Oryzias latipes: one gene and its partner. The protein of the gene in region 1 binds, or shares a complex with, the protein of each later gene. Links are inferred from orthologs where the notes say so. Each region holds a gene or a part of one and is shown on either strand. Other genes may lie near its edges.

Region 1 (3,825 bases):
GACCGAGACGCGCTCCTGCCACACCACCGCACTGCGCCCGACCTTCAGAACACGTTGCAGGACCTTTCATCATGTCTGTCAAATTTTGATGCATGAATCACATTCAGTGTGAACGCAGCTTTAGAATTCTGTGCTTAATTTTCCACATTTGCTCTGGAAGCCTTCCTTAGAACTATCCTTAGCAGTCACTGTCACCAAGGAAAGTTTAATGATGATTCTTTTAAAGGAGAATGTCAATGTTTTACTATAAAATTAGGTTTTGTCAATATTCTTTCATGTTTCTCAGTTGACCTACCTTCACTTGGAAAAATGAAAATTACTCTTGAAAAGCTTGTTCCTTATAGTAAAATGATACTGGAATCTTTAAAGAAAATTCCTTGAAAGCTCCTCTGTTTAAACGTTGAGAACAGTGCAAGGCTGGTTTATCAATGCCATTTTATTGCACCATTTTTTTAAAATTAGCTTCATTAAGAAAAAAGTCTTTAAAAAAACAGATCTTAGCAAAGCATTTGAGTTCTGACCAGAAATCAGCTGCCAGGAACATCTTGAGTGTTTGTGAATGCATCATTGAGTACACGTTTTCACAGGTTTTTTTTGTTTCACTCTGTATTGTGCCATCAGCTTTGTTGGACCATGCTGGTCCTTTGTATTAAACTGATTAAATGTGCCAGGTCTGTCAGTGAGAGAGAGGTTTTTTGTGACTGTTTGGCCCTGTAAGTGAGCTGTAAGCATTAATGACCTAATTTCCTTTAATCCTCTTAAAATGCTTTTTTTTTTTTTAATCGTAAAAGCAAGTAATAAGGGAAAAATTCTAAAAATCTATGCATCACTAAATTTAGACAGTTGGATATTTTAATTTCATCCATGGTAAAAAAAAAAAAATATTTAAACATGTCTAGCTAAGCTAGACTTAAGATATTGCTGAAAAAAGAACAACCTCACCTTATCTACACACTGCATAGTGATTTTTACTGCACTGTTGCTGTAGTTATGTCACTTTAGTCTGCTCTGTAAAGGTTTCTTTGAATGCAAATCATACATTTTTGCTGTAATGCTTGTAGTTGTGTTTAAGAGCAGATTTTTCATTTCTTCAAATAGGTTTGGTGTATAAGAGCCCATAGGCAAAATTAGGAAATGAGTCAACAGTGGTGCTGTTTCTCTGGGCTTCCACCTCCATGTCTCTCTCAAATGCCTGTTGTCATGGGGATATGACACACAGAGGAGGCCAGACAAGACAGAATAGAGGGAGCTGGAGGTGGTTGTCTAAAGAAACCGCAAAATCTAACAATCCAACAGCTGTTTTCCATTATTTGTATCAACAAGGAGTTATTTGGTCATTCAACAAAATGTGTGCAACTGTAGGTGTTACAACCATTTGACTAACCATCTACCACCACACTTGGTGGCTAAAGCTGCTTGATTTAATCTCAATTGATGTGAGAATAGTTAAAGCAAACTACAGAATAAATAAACTTTTGAACCAGTGGCTATTTAGCAATTTTGAAACTCTTACGACCTGAAATATTAAATTGAAATATTTTTCATTATATTTTAACTGAAGCAAATAAAAGTACCATTTTCCTCCAAATTGGTTTTGGTTCATTTCTATAAATACTGCAATTCTATGTTTGTCCCAAGTATGTGAGGCAATGAATTGTTGATATAAATATATTGTTAGTATAAATATTTAAGTGTATTTCCAAAAAAAAAAAGACTGTCACTCTAGATATAAAGATCTTTTTAAATCTGTATAGATTTAGTGTGATTGAAGTTCTTTTTCTGATTGTTTTCCATATTTTAATTGTTTTTTTGTAATAGATCCTTAGTTGCTAAGACTTGCCTCCTAAATGTTTTCCATTCATTTAAATGGTAACCCTTAACGGTTTTTAAAAGATACATTACTGCTAAAGACAATGTTGTCTTTAGTTGTAATGTTACTTTGATTTCTGAATGTCACTTTGCTGCTGTAGTCAAAAGAATTTTCACTTTGTGGGATAACTAAAGTCTTATCTTAATATTAGTTCTGTGCTTTTTTTTTTCCTACCCTGGCAACAAGACACCCATTTTCTTTTTCTGTTTTTAAATCTCTTCTTCTTGTGTCTTCCTGACAGAAACAAATCATTGTTGACCCTCTGGCGTTCAGCGAGGAGCGCTTTCGTCCTTCTCTGGAGGAGCGCCTTGAAAGCATTATTAGTGGAGCTGCCCTCATGGCTGATTCCTCTTGCACACGTGATGACCGCAGGGAGCGCATTGTGGCGGAATGCAACTCTGTGCGTCAAGCACTACAGGACCTTCTGAGCGAGTACATGGGAAATGTAAGTGTCTTTAACTTTTTCCCCCATTTTTGATGTGCTGTTATGTCTTCTAAGTTTGGTTTGCTCTTTTTAATCACTAGTGACAAAAGGTGCGTTTAGATGCTGCATTTCTGACTTGATTGAGATCTATGGGTTCATAATTTGATTTATGGTTCAATACCATTTTATTAAATATTGATTAATTTCTCCTGTTTCAAAGTTCCAACCCCATTTTGCTTGGTTATGATTTTTCTCTTTCCTCAAAAAAGTACATAATTAAGGTTTAAACTGCACAAAAGTAAAACTTTTAAAGCTTGAAAATTTCTAAAAAATAAGAAATCTAATAAAAACATAAAGAAAACCTGATAAATATCACATAAATTCTTTAAATTAAAATTCATCCACTGTCATAAAATTGATATTGCATTTTTAGGCTAAGCATTGACTTAAGTATAGTTTCAGAGGTTTCACTTGTCAAAAAAAAAATGCACCCAAATCAAGTTTCAATAAAGGGGGCGGAAGAACTATTTTGGGGCTTCTGAACTATAGTTACTTATGTCTGAAAGTTTGGGCAGATTTAAACATCCTACACCTCAGAAACACTTTGTAAAGGTGTACCAAACGGCTCAGTTTTTTGGCGTGTGCACACACTAATTTGGATAGAGATAAATGTGTTTACAGGGCTTTTGGCTGTCCTTCGTTCAAATCTGCGACCGGTTGGTTACAAAGCCTGTGCAGTGGACCCCCCGACAATTGTCTGGGGGCCATTGCAGGACCTGTACATTTTGTCATATCTTCAGCAGTTTTTGAGTGGTTTTGTCTTGATTGTAACGGTACAGTTGTCGGAAGGCATCTGTTAAAAGCATTTAGTGAATAAAAATCGAGGCAAAGTTGGTCCTAAATACAGAAATCCTCTGGCCCTTTGCACATTTTTAGTCACGTCTTGGCCAGTGTGAACGTACTCAATCTAGAATGTAATCACCAAGCCATGCTAAATTGAGATTTAGAAATCACCCTCCACAGTAAGCCTGTAAACCTTGTTTGGTTGTATGTTAAAGTAATCCTCGTTATAAGTCTTTCATGCAGTACACTATTCTATTTAAATTTCACTGTAAGATGAAATACTATGGTTTTGTTTTAGCTTTATTCTGTGTTAATAAACTGTGTAGTCCACTAGGGATGTCAACGATTTCTGGGCATTTTAAATGGTTATGAAAACCATCAGCCACAGTCATCGCAAAGCACAACAGGAACTTTTGGAGGCGGTATAACCCTCCCTCAACCATAGAAGACGAACAAAAACTTGCATTTAGTGCTTCATTCACACCGTCCGCGTGTGGTGCGTTCAATAGCGCGGTCCACATGGTTTATGAACGCGTATCCAGATGGTGTGGGACATACCGGACTTCTGTGTATTTACTGTTTATTAGTGCTCAACTGCCGTCTACAATAGGAAGAGGGTTGATAAGCAAAGTCACAGTGGTGCAAATCTTGCTCCAGACCTTTTGTTTTCATAGCTCTTTCCCTATAA
Region 2 (3,825 bases), on another chromosome or scaffold:
AAATTTTTGAAAGCTCTATTGGTACTCTATTGTCTTAATAAACTTAGTGAAATCTAATATATGTTAAAGTGAAAATTTGTTAAAAATTATTTTAAGTTATCAACTGTCGTGGATTAACAAAGGCACTTGTATGTTGTCTTGTACACAATGTATTTGATGATGATCATCTGTTATTGAAGGAAAAAAAAGAACAGTTTTAATGTTAACATTTTTATTGTCATCATTATGGAAACTTCAACTTTGACTGGACCTTCATGTAATTAAATCTTTTTAAACTTTATCTGGTTGGTAATCAACTATAAGATCATCTTTGATTTATGTGTAATGTGTCACATGTTTTGTGAGAGATACTTTTACATAAAGGAATATTTCATCTATTGTGTATAAAGATCAGAGTATCATGATCTCAGAAGCATGTGAAGGACCACAAACAGATCAAACGTCTTCAAATGAAAAGATGAAATTCACTATATTTGAAGTACGTTTTTTAAAAGCATAAATGTATGTTTTGTTATGATTTGTTTACAGTCTTACTTATCGGGTTCTCATGCAGTTGCAAAAAACATCAGTTTGAACAAACGGAAGATAAAGGATACCAGACACTTGTGAAATACAATAGAGAAGGACACCTCCTTAAACCTATAGTGAGTTGGTTGTGATGTTTCTTGTTTTTTTGTTTGTTTATTAAATTAGCTAAAGTTTGATGTTCAAAACATGATTTCAATGAAAAAACATTTTTTTTCTTTTTATGTTAGGCTCCGACTGAATTAACTGGACCTAATGCCATCAACCAGACCAACAATACAGTGGTAATCCTCACAACTTAATCCTGTTTGGACAGACAGTGTTTCACTGCAGCCATTTGTTCTTTTAAAGACAGTATGTTCATGTTTGCTGCTTAAACAGGCTCTAAAGAAAAGAGAATAATCTCTTTTCATACAATTTAGCACAAAGTACATTGCAAAACTAAAAGAAGACCCTCCATGTTTGTCTCCTATATGATATAATTACCTGAAGTTAACCAATGATTAATGAAGGAGAAGGAAAATATGTAAAATGGTCAGGGGTGCCCAAACTTTTTCATACATCATACTGCCTACTACTACATTTCCCACAATTAGATAATCTTATAAAGGTGTATTTTATTTTTAAAAAGAAGTCATGTAACCTACCCGACAACATTTTGAAAAAAAATCTCTTTTTGTTTAAGTTGAATTTATGCCCAAAAAAATGCAGCCTATTAACATTTTTAATTTATTAACAATAAAATAAGTACAAATCAGTTATGTATTTCTTTCTAAAAGGGAAACTAAGACTTTGTAGTTCCTAAGTTATAGTCAGTAAAAAGTCGAGTTGAAGGTTGCAGACTCCTGCTTTGGGTGTTTGCAGCAATCTTTAAATGTAGAATGAAGATCTGAAGAAGTGCAAGCTGCCTATCATCTTACAATTTGTATCCATCCTTGGTTAATTAATCCAGGGCTTATTGTGAGATGTACAGTATTTTTTTGTTTGTTTTTTCTTAGAAGTCTGCAACGTCTTCAGGACGTTCCCTCAACAAGAAAACGTACAGCTCAGGAGCGTACAGCATGGGGACTTCAGACTCGTTGAAGGAATCTATGGTTAAAAACAAAACTGAAGTATGATGCATCAAGTCTAAAATATTCATGTTAATGTTTAAGAGTACTCAAATCAGATACCTTTTAGTCATTTATTAAGCTTTCAAGCTTTTACTGTAACCTTTCACAGATGAGCATAAACAAACCAAACCTCGGTGGAAGTCATGTGAGTCGTTCCATGGTGAGGACATTTTTTTAACAGTTTTTGTACCACATTTAGGCAATGTGAATTTTGACCCTAATCCCTACTATAAAACTATCTAGTGTGGGATTATTAAATGCTCTGGATTATAAAAACAATTCAGACACCGCTCACACCTTTTTTTTTTAAACAGCAATTATGACATCAGTGATTTCACAAAATGAAAACCTAATCAACACGATCATGTTACGACAACCTTTTAGGAATCCACTGTGTTCTGATAAAGAAATGATTTTATTATTATGTTTATTATTATGTTTATTAGAAAAATACATATAAATACATTTTAAAACTCGCCAACAAACGCCGACCTTTTTTTTAAAACTAGTCCTCAACCACTAAAATGAACTCCAACAAGGTGTGTAGCGCTTTTCAAAAGAATAAAACATGTTTTGTCAGACTCAGACATCTGTTTTCTTTGTCTGCAGAACCAATCAGAGCAGGATCCTTTTTCAAGAGTACAGTCAAATATTCCTCTTCCTGATCAAATTAAAAAGGTAAGAGTTCCTCCTCTCTCCTCTTAAACAACTGATCTCAGCTAAATCAGAATCAGAAGTACTTTAAGTACTGTTTGTGTTATCCAAAGGAGAAACAGCAGGGGGTATTGGAAGAATGCCAAGTTTGGTTGACACATTCCTACCATAGTGTAGTATATGAGGAGAGATGCAGGTGGTCGCATGTGGAGTTGCACGGTACACCTGGAGCCAGTTTGTCACAATCTCTGTCCAAGGTAGGGACTGCTGAATTACAATCTGAATACAGGACCTGAGACCACGGTGAACTCTTTCAACCGCCCCATTGGCAGCTGGGTAGTAGACAGATGTTCTGCTGTGTGTTATGTCTCACAGAAGAAGAAAAGAGGCAAAAACGTGAGAGGTAAACTGTGCACCATTATCGGTGACTATGTTTTTGGGGTTACCATGTCGACTGAAAACACTAGTCAAGAACCAAATGACATCATTAGCGGGAGCAGTAGGTGAAAAAGCAAGTTCATGCCACTTAGAATAGTAATCGGTCAGCGCGATGGCAAACCTGCAGGTGGGGTCAGCAGTCTTAAAAGGTCCAACAATGTCAACTCCCAGCTTCTTCCATGGTCCATCAGGAAGTGGAACAGGCTGCAGGGGAGCAGAATGTGTATGGGCTGTTTTGTCATTAGTCTGACAAATGACACATGAGGCTATAGCAGCCCGCACTTGGGAGTCCATCTTTGGCCACCAATAAAGGTCCCTCAAGTGCTCTAGTGTGCACGATTCCTTGATGACTCTCATGGGCAAGTGTGATTGGGATTTACGGGAGGCAAAAGCCACTGTCTTCTCAGTGCCATCAGGGTGCACTTGAGCTAGCACAGCATCCAGTCCACAGTCGCTGGCATCGGTGGGCACCACAGTGTGTAGGGCTGGATCAAAAGGTGCCAGAGCAGCACTAGTAACCAGGAGGTGTTTAACTTTCTCGAAACTGGTTTGTGCAGCCAAGGTCCAGGTAAATGTGTTCTTTTCCTTGGCACAGATACGCATAGGGGCCACAACGGTTGCAAAATTGGGCAGAAATTTGGAGTACCAGTAAACCAAACCCAGGAAGGATCTCAGTGAAGCAGCATCAGATGGAGGAGGAGCTTACAGCCTCAATGTAGTCCTGATCAGGAAAAGTGCAATGATGGTTTTCTGAAATTGCAGTTTTGCTCATTGAGCACCAGTCCAGCTTCCTTGAGCCCCTGAAGGACAGCGTCATGGTTCTGATCATGTTCAGTATTGGTTTTGCCAAAAACAATGAGATCATCCAAGTAATTTTGGACATCAAGAAGATCTTTGAGGATTTCTCTCATCATTTTCTGGAAAGCTGAGGGGCAGATGCGAATCCTTATGGAACCCTGCAAAATCTGAAGAGACCATCATGAGTAATGAGTGCTGTGAGGTCTCTGCTGTCTTCGTGCAGAGGCAGCTGATAGTATGCATTAGCCTGGTCAATTGTGGAAAACATTTTTGCACCCTGTAGGTGGTTAAAATCAAT

What was found.
Region 2: ctnna1 (region 1) and cadherin-like protein 26 share a complex: the UniProt entries of both Homo sapiens proteins name them as parts of the cadherin:catenin adhesion complex. The link is inferred for Oryzias latipes from reciprocal best matches to the Homo sapiens genes CTNNA1 and CDH26.

Annotation. Positions count from the first base shown.
Region 1 is NC_019868.2:19,914,895-19,918,719, forward strand, and holds part of ctnna1 (catenin alpha-1), read left to right. Parts: intron 1-2,111; coding exon 2,112-2,315; intron 2,316-3,825. UniProt on the Homo sapiens protein: Associates with the cytoplasmic domain of a variety of cadherins. The association of catenins to cadherins produces a complex which is linked to the actin filament network, and which seems to be of primary importance for cadherins cell-adhesion properties.
Region 2 is NC_019865.2:18,100,929-18,104,753, forward strand, and holds part of cadherin-like protein 26, read left to right. Parts: intron 1-528; coding exon 529-644; intron 645-755; coding exon 756-809; intron 810-1,523; coding exon 1,524-1,637; intron 1,638-1,746; coding exon 1,747-1,797; intron 1,798-2,246; coding exon 2,247-2,315; intron 2,316-3,825. UniProt on the Homo sapiens protein: Cadherins are calcium-dependent cell adhesion proteins. They preferentially interact with themselves in a homophilic manner in connecting cells; cadherins may thus contribute to the sorting of heterogeneous cell types.